2 linked regions of the Coturnix japonica genome follow. Each later gene encodes a partner of the first gene's protein in a complex. Links are inferred from orthologs where the notes say so. Each region holds a gene or a part of one and is shown on either strand. Other genes may lie near its edges.

Evidence for each region.
Region 2: the proteins of OPRL1 (region 1) and PNOC are in contact, whole or in part, in a cryo-EM structure (PDB 8F7X), measured with the Homo sapiens proteins. The link is inferred for Coturnix japonica from reciprocal best matches to the Homo sapiens genes OPRL1 and PNOC. Residues at the interface, in NP_000904.1 of Homo sapiens: Gln107, Asp110, Gly114, Phe115, Trp116, Val126, Ile127, Asp130, Tyr131, Met134, Gln192, Glu194, Ile198, Glu199, Cys200, Leu201, Val202, Ile219, Val279, Gln280, Val283, Gln286, Gln291, Pro292, Ser293, Val298, Leu301, Arg302, Thr305, Tyr309; in NP_006219.1 of Homo sapiens: Phe130, Gly131, Gly132, Phe133, Thr134, Gly135, Ala136, Arg137, Lys138, Ser139, Ala140, Arg141, Lys142, Leu143.

Annotation. Positions count from the first base shown.
Region 1 is NC_029535.1:8,320,306-8,324,611, reverse strand, and holds the start of OPRL1 (nociceptin receptor), read left to right. Parts: upstream 1-1,358; 5' UTR 1,359-1,738; coding exon 1,739-2,021; intron 2,022-2,634; coding exon 2,635-2,858; intron 2,859-3,294; coding exon 3,295-3,548; intron 3,549-4,306.
Region 2 is NC_029518.1:96,462,647-96,467,241, forward strand, and holds the start of PNOC (prepronociceptin), read right to left. Parts: upstream 2,949-4,595; 5' UTR 2,822-2,948; intron 220-2,821; 5' UTR 204-219; coding exon 84-203; intron 1-83.

The sequences.
Region 1 (4,306 bases):
TACTTCCTGTCAGCTCCTCTGATGCTGTTTGCCATGGGTCTGTGGCATTATGTGAAGCAGTCAGCGCTCATAAACGGAGCCCAGCATCTCTCCTGTCTTGCTGAGCCATTGCAGGTTGAGCAGGGACTGCCCTGTGCTCTTCCACAGCTTGGCTGCCCCAGGTCTCACTTGTTCTGTGTGTTTTCCATCTCTGGAAAAGTCTTGCTCTAATATTTCTATCTGCCACGCAGTTCTTCTATATGAAATGCTGATACCTGCTCTGCTTGTTTCCTTGGTGCTGAAAGATGCAGTGTTTGATGCTGCTCAGCACCGACCTGCTGAAGGGAGCAGCAATGCTCAGAGCTGACCCTTGAAAAGCTTAAACTTTTGATCCACAAAGCAGGACCTTTTGTGCTTACAAACGTGTTTAATGGCAGAAAACAAAGCTACCTGCCTGTTGTTTCTCACCCTTCTAAATAGTTTAGCCTAGAATAGGGAAACAAGTGGTTTGATCAGTGTGCTTCCAATGGTGATATGTGGCACTGCCATCAGTTCTGATGGGAGAAGGGTGTGCATGTCAGCCGTGCTCTCAGTGCTTATAGCATGGGCAGTGATGGCAGAAATGAGGAGCCTCTCTTTGTGCACACTCTTAGTTGCTCTATTTGGGGGTAAAAATCAGTACCCAAAGAACACATTCTGCCTGCCCATCATTGCTGAGAGTGCAAATGTTGTTAATTAGAGTTTTGCATGCACTTAGTGCCTGTCAGCCCTGCAGTGATAGATGGGTTTCTGACCCTCTGCTCTCCTACCAGCCCAGCACGCTCTGCATCCCCCAACCTACCTTCATCTCTCTGTTAGAAATAATTTCCCATCTTGCAAAATTAATTCTCTGCTCACAACGGCTTTAATTAAATAGCTCCGCAAAGTGTGCTGAGGGTGGCAGAGCAGCTCTGACAGAGGGGCTTCATCCAGCCATCACCTGGAAGGAGGGTTTTGTTTTGGGCTCATTCTTCTTGGCTTTTATTACTTTGCTGTCTGCATAGAAGCCCTCCACCAGAAGAGTTGATCCCTTTCTTTTCCCAAGAAATGGGCTGGGAGAAATCCTTTTGGACCTCACAGGTGAAATCTTGCTGGCCTTTGTTTTGGTGTGAAGACCCCAGAGGATGCAGGGAAGATCTCTGATGAGAAAGAAAGCTGCCATAGGATGGCAGTCTGCCCACTGAACTGTGGGGGGGATCCTGGGGAGAACAGAAGGAATAGTCATCTCTTTTGTTAATATAGACTTCCATGATTGAACTGGGGGCTTGGAGACACTCAGGGTCAGGCTGGAGGGGCTTGGAAACATAATGATGTGTCTCTGTTCACTGCAGGGAGTGTTGGACTGACAGCCTTTAGGGGGTCCCTTCCACCTCAAATGATTCAGTGATTGGATTAGGTTGGGGTCACATTGAGCAGAACACAGAGAGATTGGGACTGAATGTGCAGCAGGAATAAGTTGGGTTTTCCTATTTGAGAGGTCAATGAGCAGCATGAAGGCTGTCCAGGTGAGCTCTCTGCTCTGATTTACTGCTGTTCTCCCTTCAGCATTTGAAAATCAATCCATTTACTATTAATGTCTCATCCTGAATTTATTTCACACGCCTGTTAATGGACTGACCAAAACTCTTTCAAACACCAGGACTCCTGCATCACACGGAGGGCTGCATCTCTGCTGTGTGCTTCTTTCCTTTGTTCCCTCTCAGATCTGGGACCTGCTTTCATGGAAGCATTTAGGAACACTGCTGCATGTTCCCATGCTATTACTGGTGAGGAAGGTGCAGCTTCTGTGCTAAACATCCCCAGGCAAGCTTTAATGTGGAACTGGAGCAGCAAGGGCTGTCTGCTGGGCCCAAGCTGCTCTTCTGGGCTGCCTGTGGACTCTGTAAGAGAAGCAATGTTTGCTGCCCAAGGAGGCAGTAGTCTTTCTCTGTGCCTCCTGGGCCATACCAATGTGTGCTGCACCCCAAAAACTGCTGGAAAACTGCTTCTACCATCTGTGACAGGTGAGTGGGGCAGCAGAGCATGAGGCCCTGCAGGCAGGGTGCTCTTGGTGTGGGATCAGAATGAGGCAGACCTCACGGTCCCATTTTCCCCCTGTGTATGGGGATAGCAGACAGCTGTGATCACATCCCATGGCTGGATTTGGGGAGGATTAGGGGGTAAGGGTCAGAAGCTCCATGTGCTCCTCAAATTGAGACAAAGCAGGGGATGCTCTCAGTTACACCCCTCCCCACTTTGCCCACCATAGCTCTGAGAGCCCTGGCTCAGCCCTCTGTGCCATTTGGCCACTTTCTAGGTTAAATTCCCCAAATTCTACCTCTGTTCCGGGAGCACTCAGCCCTCCCGGCTGCTGAGCTGCCCCAGGTGGGTGCGGGACACTGCCGGGGACTGCAGGTAGGGTTGGGTATTGGTGCTGGAGTCTCCTTCCATCTGTGGGGTAACTAGGGGAGGGTGGCAGCTCTGAGCGGTGGGGACGGAGCCCGCAGGTGTGAGCTCGCTCTGCTTTGGTGGGTTTGGCTTTTTCCCTTTTTTTCCCCCCCCCTTTTTATTTATTTTTTTAATCCATCCCCTCCCTCCTTCCCCCCCCCCCCCCCACCTCGCTTTGCTTTTACGCAGTGACAGCAGCCAGGCAGCCGGGCTGGCTCTGCCCAGCCGCCGTCCTCCCTCCTTCCCTCCCTCCCTCTTTCTCCTTCTCTCCCCCCCATCCTTCCCTGCTCCTTAAAACCTGCGTTCCGGGGGTGCAGCCCCTCCAGCGGAGCCTCCGGCCGTGCCCAACCCGGCTTTGTTCCCTGCGGGGCTGCCTGAATGCGGACGCAGTAAGAAGGGAAATCCGTACGCAGGTAAGCAGCCAGCAGGGGTTTACGTGTCTCTGTATCTTTTAAACTTCGGGCATTTCCTACCGCTTTGCAGGGGATGCTGCAGGGCTGCAGCAAGCTGGCTTTGGACAGAAGGGGGGGAGGGGTGGGGTGAGCTTGGAGCCCCGGCTGGAGGCTGCTGTAGGGGGTGTTTGGGGAGCACGAAGCTGCATTAAGGGTTTCCAGCCTCATCCAGGCTGCGGGATATGGGTGGGGGTCTCCCAGTGCCCGGGAGGAATGGAGTTGTGCAGCCTGCATTCCTGCTGTGCTGACGGTGTGGAGATATTTGAGCTCAGGGTGCACTGAGCTCTGGAGTCTGAATCCCATTTTCGTGCTCCTGGGGAGCATCCCTTGCATTCTTTGTGCCCTGAACTGCCCGTTTCACCAGCATATCTTAAAACTCTCTTTTCGGTGCCCCCAGGTCGTTGGCACAGGCTGGTGGTTCATGATGGACCCCCTCTTCCCTGCCCATATATTGGAAGACCCCGACCTGAGAAAGCTGCTGAACGACTCCTCCATGCTGAACCTGAGCTTTCTCCCCAGCAACTGGTTCAACAACGGCACGGGGGACAGCTTCCTGCCGCTCAGCATCAAGATCACCATTGTGGTTGTCTACTCCATTGTGTGCATTGTGGGGCTGGTGGGCAACTGCTCCGTCATGTATGTGATCGTCAGGTAGGCAGCAGGCAGCTTGCAAGGGAGGGATGGGAGCAGGGAGGGCAACCTCGTGAGAATAAATCAGTGCTGCAAGAGGAGAGGGCTGGTGATTCTCCGGTAATTGCAATGTGCTTTAGAGGTAATGGTGTGGTGTCTGTTTAATGCTTTGGGTTTTATATGTTGGGTCTTTTTTTTTCCCCTCCCTTGCTAGGCATGGTGAAGGTTCCCACCAGCTTTCAGCTGCCCTCTGGTGCCTCCTAAAGTTTAACCCAGAGAATGGAACGGAGCGAGCAGGTCTGCTCCATAAGTGGGGCTTTTTGCAAGCTGCTGGGTAGGGAGTGGGGTGTCCTGGGGAACATGAAGTGTTGGGAGCATGCAGGGTGCGCCCACTGCTCTGTGGGACATCTTCCCCCTGCTGTGGGTGCAGCTGCTGCTCCATCTGGGAGCTGAACCAAGTTCTGAGGTGTAGGGCTTATTGGGAAGCTCAGACTTGCATTTTTTTACCTCTAAGTGCAATTCATGCAGCTTTTCCACCTCGATGGGAAATATGGGTGTAAATAAGATGCAACAGGGTGGTGAAGAGATAAGGGTGACTTTCCTGGCTCTGGAGTTGGGAGGACCTTTGCAGGAGGACACAGCTCAGAGCCTGGGCTGCTCCTGCAGCACTGTCTGACCTCTCTGCCTGCTCCTGCTGTGGTTTGAACCACCTGATTTCCTGCAGTCATAAACCCTGCAAGTACAAAGTAAGCTCCTGCAACCACTGGGGCTGCAATTCT
Region 2 (4,595 bases), on another chromosome or scaffold:
TCGAGGCTCCTCACTGCCCCACATCTCCCCATGCCCTACCACTATAGCACCCCAAACCCCAGAGGGGGTGTGGGGGCACTTACAAGAAGGTCGAAGCCATCGTGGTAGAAGTGGCGGTCGCAGCGCAGGCAGTCCCCCCGGCAGTCACTCCGTGCCCGGGCAAAGAGGCAGAGAAGTAGCAGGTCCCAGAGCACGGCCCTCATGGTGACAACGGCGGGGCTGCAGCCAGAGACAAAAGCTGTGAGCCCCAGCACTGCTCCTAAATGGGTTGGAGCAACGCTCAGCCCTCACCATAATGGGAATGAGCCTCCCTCCCACCCCCAGCTCCATTTTCCCAGGCTATCTCGTGACACGAGTACCAGCAGAGCTTAATTTAGCAGGTGGACATGGTGAGGTGTCACGTCTCAGGCTGTCCCCAAACAGGATGTCTGTGTGCCAGCAGTGAGGCTGAGGACACGGGGACAGCAAAGTTGCCCTTGGTGGCACCTTGATCCCTTCATGCAAAACATGTCCTGGGCAAGGAGACGGGCAAGATGTCTAAAGCCTTCTACAAGCTCCACCAGCAGACCAGAAATCCTCATTTCCTTCTAAAACTGTGATTTCCAGTCTTCAGCCACCATTCTGATGGGCATCCAGGAACCACACATCCAGCTTTGCCCATCGCGGGCAAAGAAGACCTCAGTGGTGACAGCAATGGCTTTGTGACCTGTGCTCCATCAGCATGTTGGGGCACTCTGGGGGGGATTTGAAGGTGGGTTTGCTTTTGTGGGTAGGGCTCAGGGCTCATGTTTTCCACCAGGGTGGGGGCATCATGCAATAGAAGCACTGGGGATTCTGCACGGTGTCACGGTCACCTTCGAGCTCAGTGACACAGAGCCCCGCGGAGCTGCTTGTCATTTGCTAGAGGGAAAGCTGATAAGGAGTCAGAATTAAGGCTTAATCTTCGCCGAGTCTCATTAAAACTGGCTGGCGGCGTGAGTCAGAGGATTGGCAGGAAGCTCCCGGGAGAGGACAACACCCCCCCTAAAAAAACCACTGCAAAACCCCAATATCTCCACAATGCCCCCAAAGGAGGTGTCCCAGTATACCTGGGAGGGCTGGAGTGCAGAGACTGGGGGAATTACTGGATGGCCAACTGGAAGATGCTATGGGGCAGGCAGGATGTGAGCCCCAGCATGAGGGGTGGCACCGCATATCGATGCCCCCTGAAAATGCAATCAGCCCATCTGAAGTGGGGCACCTGCCTGGTTCTGGGGGGATGGAGGGATGCAGAATCCTCTAAAATGTTACTGTGAGCCCCACAGCCCTGGGGTACGCCAGTATCAAATAGAATTATCCTCATTAATAACAGCGTTGGGGTAAAAAGGAGGGATTTGGGTGGAAATACAGCCTGTGGTTCAGATAGCGGCAGGGTCTGGCTCTGACATCAATAACCAGGGAGGAGAGGAGGAGGAGGATGGGCAGCAGGTGCTGCTGTGATGCACTTTCATTCATTCGATTTGGGCTGATTGGGTTTTTTTTTTTCTGCAGAGTGTGAGCTTTGGGCTGAAATCAGCTGAAACAGGGCAGCTCAGGGATGCTGAACCCTGTGTTCCCTGGGAATGTTCTCATTAGGGTTAGGGTCTGTCCCACCACGTGGGGAACAAGCACTGTTCCCAGAGCTCAGCCAGCCCCAATGATTGCTCTGTTTCCTCCTAAATCCCACTATTTCCAGCAGAATGCAAGGCCCGACCTGGAGGCACGGAGCTGCTTCCAGCACGAAACCCCACTATTATCCAACACTATCCCCCACTGGCACGGGTAAAACACTTCCCCTCCTGCTCTCCTCCAGCATAAAAATAATATGAAGTTGCCACCAGCAAAAGGAAAAGGCGAAGGGGAAGGCAACGCTGCCAGCGCGCCCCAAATCTTTGTGCCAGTGGCTTGGGGGGGATTGGAAGCAGCCCCCCCTGCTTCCCCGGTGCTCGTCGGAAAAACAAGCGCTTCCTTTTGTTGAGTCCCTCCATCAGGTAATTGGCCATAATTGGCCAAAATTACAGACTGCGTCGAGATGATCAACACAGATGGGGCAGCGATGGAGCGATTGAGAGGTAAAAGCTTTGGGCAGAGGGCTGCTCCCTGCGCCCGTCCCCATTCATTCCTGCTTTCTGTTGGGGACGGCAAGAATATAAAGGGGGAAAAAAAAAACAAAACGAAAACCCAACCATTTTCCTCCCTTTTGTGCTTTGTCAGAGGAGGGAGCGATGCCTCCTGCTCCAGGCACCTCCCGGCGCATCCCGCGGTGCTGAAGTTGTGAAGTTCCCTATCCCTTTTGTCCTGGATATCAACCCCCTCCCCCCAAAAAAAGAGAAAAACACCAAAAAGGGGTAATTTGGGGTTTGGTAATCCTGTGGTTTCTCCCTTCAGGCCATCGGTGCAGGGATGGAGACACAGAAGCCGGGTGCTTTGTGCCAGATCAAACCCCAAACCCTTTGCATCTCACCTGCCACCCCGCTGCCTCACCGCGCATCGGGCTCCTGTTGCGTTCCTCATCCAGTTTGGGTCCAAAAAGGGATATTTGGGGGAAGGTGAAACTTTTTTGCAGGTGCTCGCCTGGACAAGCATCGTGCATTTGGCTTTGTGGGGAGATATTTCTCTTTAACCCTTGCTGAGGAATGGGAATACGGGATGAATCGAAGCCTCGCCGGTGATGCTTGGGATAAAAAACCCAGCAAATAATAATAAAAAAGCAACAAAAAAAAAAGCAAAAAAAAAAGAAAAAGAAAGCCAATTCCCTCCTCCCCCCTCCCTGATCCACTGCAAACCGAAGCCCATCTCCTACCTGCAGTGTGCTGTCAGCTGCTGGCTCCTCTGCTCTGTGCCTCCTCCGGCGCCGGTGCCTCGGTGGTATATATAGACGGTGTGCACACCCGTCCCCACACCTCCTGCCCGGCCCCCAGCACGTGGGCTGAGCCCACCCCCGGGGGCTGAGGCAGCACTGACAGCTGGGGACAGGGGACGTGTGTCCCCCCCTTTGTGCCCCTCTGTGCTGTGAACCGGTTCCCATCAGTGGGGTGTCCTCCGGCATCGCATTTGGGTGCGTGAATATGGGGTGGCTGTGTTACCCCCAGATCCCTTTCTGCCAGACCTCAGTGCAGTGCCCTCGAGCAGCATGGGGAGAAGATTTTGGGGGAGGTTATGGGGCTGGGGGGGCTCAGCCATGAGTTGCGAAGCTGGAGCATCCACTGAGCATTGGGGGGCACCCACCGCCATAATTTCTTTTAGGGCATAACAGGTTTAAAATGTTGCTTTTTTTATTTTTCACTGATGCAGCCCCAGGATCGGGATGGGAGTCCCGCTACCCCAAAACACCTCTGGGTGGGTGGGGGTAGTGGGGGTACAGGGGCTCATCAGGTTTGTTGCTCCAGTGTGGCTAATGAGTGTGACCAGCATCGATGGCGGGCAAGAGGATGGGGCAGCTCAACGGACATGGGGGGGAAATTACAACTTTTCATTTGGAAAGGGAGGGGATCTCTTCCCTTGCCCCAAAATGGGGTGGATCTGTGGCCCATTGGGTCCATCCCAAAGGTGTGTCCCAGTGCTCCCACCTCAGGGGCACGGCCGCCTCCAGCCCTTTCCCACACCAAGCAGCACTGCCTCTTTTTTCCCATCTAAGTGACCCCATGGATCACCCTGCTTGAAGCCACCAGGCATTTTGCACCACCCCAAGCATCCTGCATGACCCCAAGAAGCCTTCAGCACCCCAAGTATCCTATACTGCCCCAAGCATACTTCATCACCTTGAGCATCCTGTATTACCCTGATCATCCTTCACTGCCCCAAGCATCCCACACCACCAAAGCATCCTGCACTTCTCTAAGAATCCATCATTGCCCCAAGCATCCTTCATGACCACAAGAATTCTTCATGACCACAAGAATCCTTCATCACCCCGAGCATCCTTCATCACCTCGAGCATCCTATACCATTCTGAGCATCCTGCATGGCCCCAAGCATCCTTCACTGCCCCGAGCATCCTTCACCACCCCACACTGGCAATTCAATAATCAAATCCGCAGCACCACTGAGATCATATCTCAGTAATTCCCCCTAACAACTCCCTTGGAAGGGCTGCATAGCAGAGCAAAACGGCTCCTTTTGTTTTTGCTTTGGCTCCGAAACAGCGCGCTTAATGTCCTGCCTGAGACCTCTGCTCTGTGCAAGCTCTGGCAGGCATCAGAAGCCAGAAACCTATGGAACTGCTGAAAAGTGGCAGAGGGGGGGAGCTGGGGGAGAAGCACTCCTCACTGCTTTTGTGGCAGAGAGCTGATTTATTTATTAATGTCCCTATTGCTCAGACTTCCTTCAACCATCCAGGTTGCTGTTGTTTTTGATGAAGGGGTTTTTTCACCAAACCAAGGTGGAGGGAAGGGGATGGCAAGGGGGCAGGCACCTTGTCCCCTCTGGGGGGCATTTTACAGTGGATTTCCCCCAGAGGAATCACCATAGCCTGGTGAGAGGGAATTACCTCCAAGGCTGGGTTTTAACCTAGTGATTTGGATAGGGCTGAGCTGGTAGCAAAGGACATCGGGTGAGGATGCTCGTGGTCTTGCTAA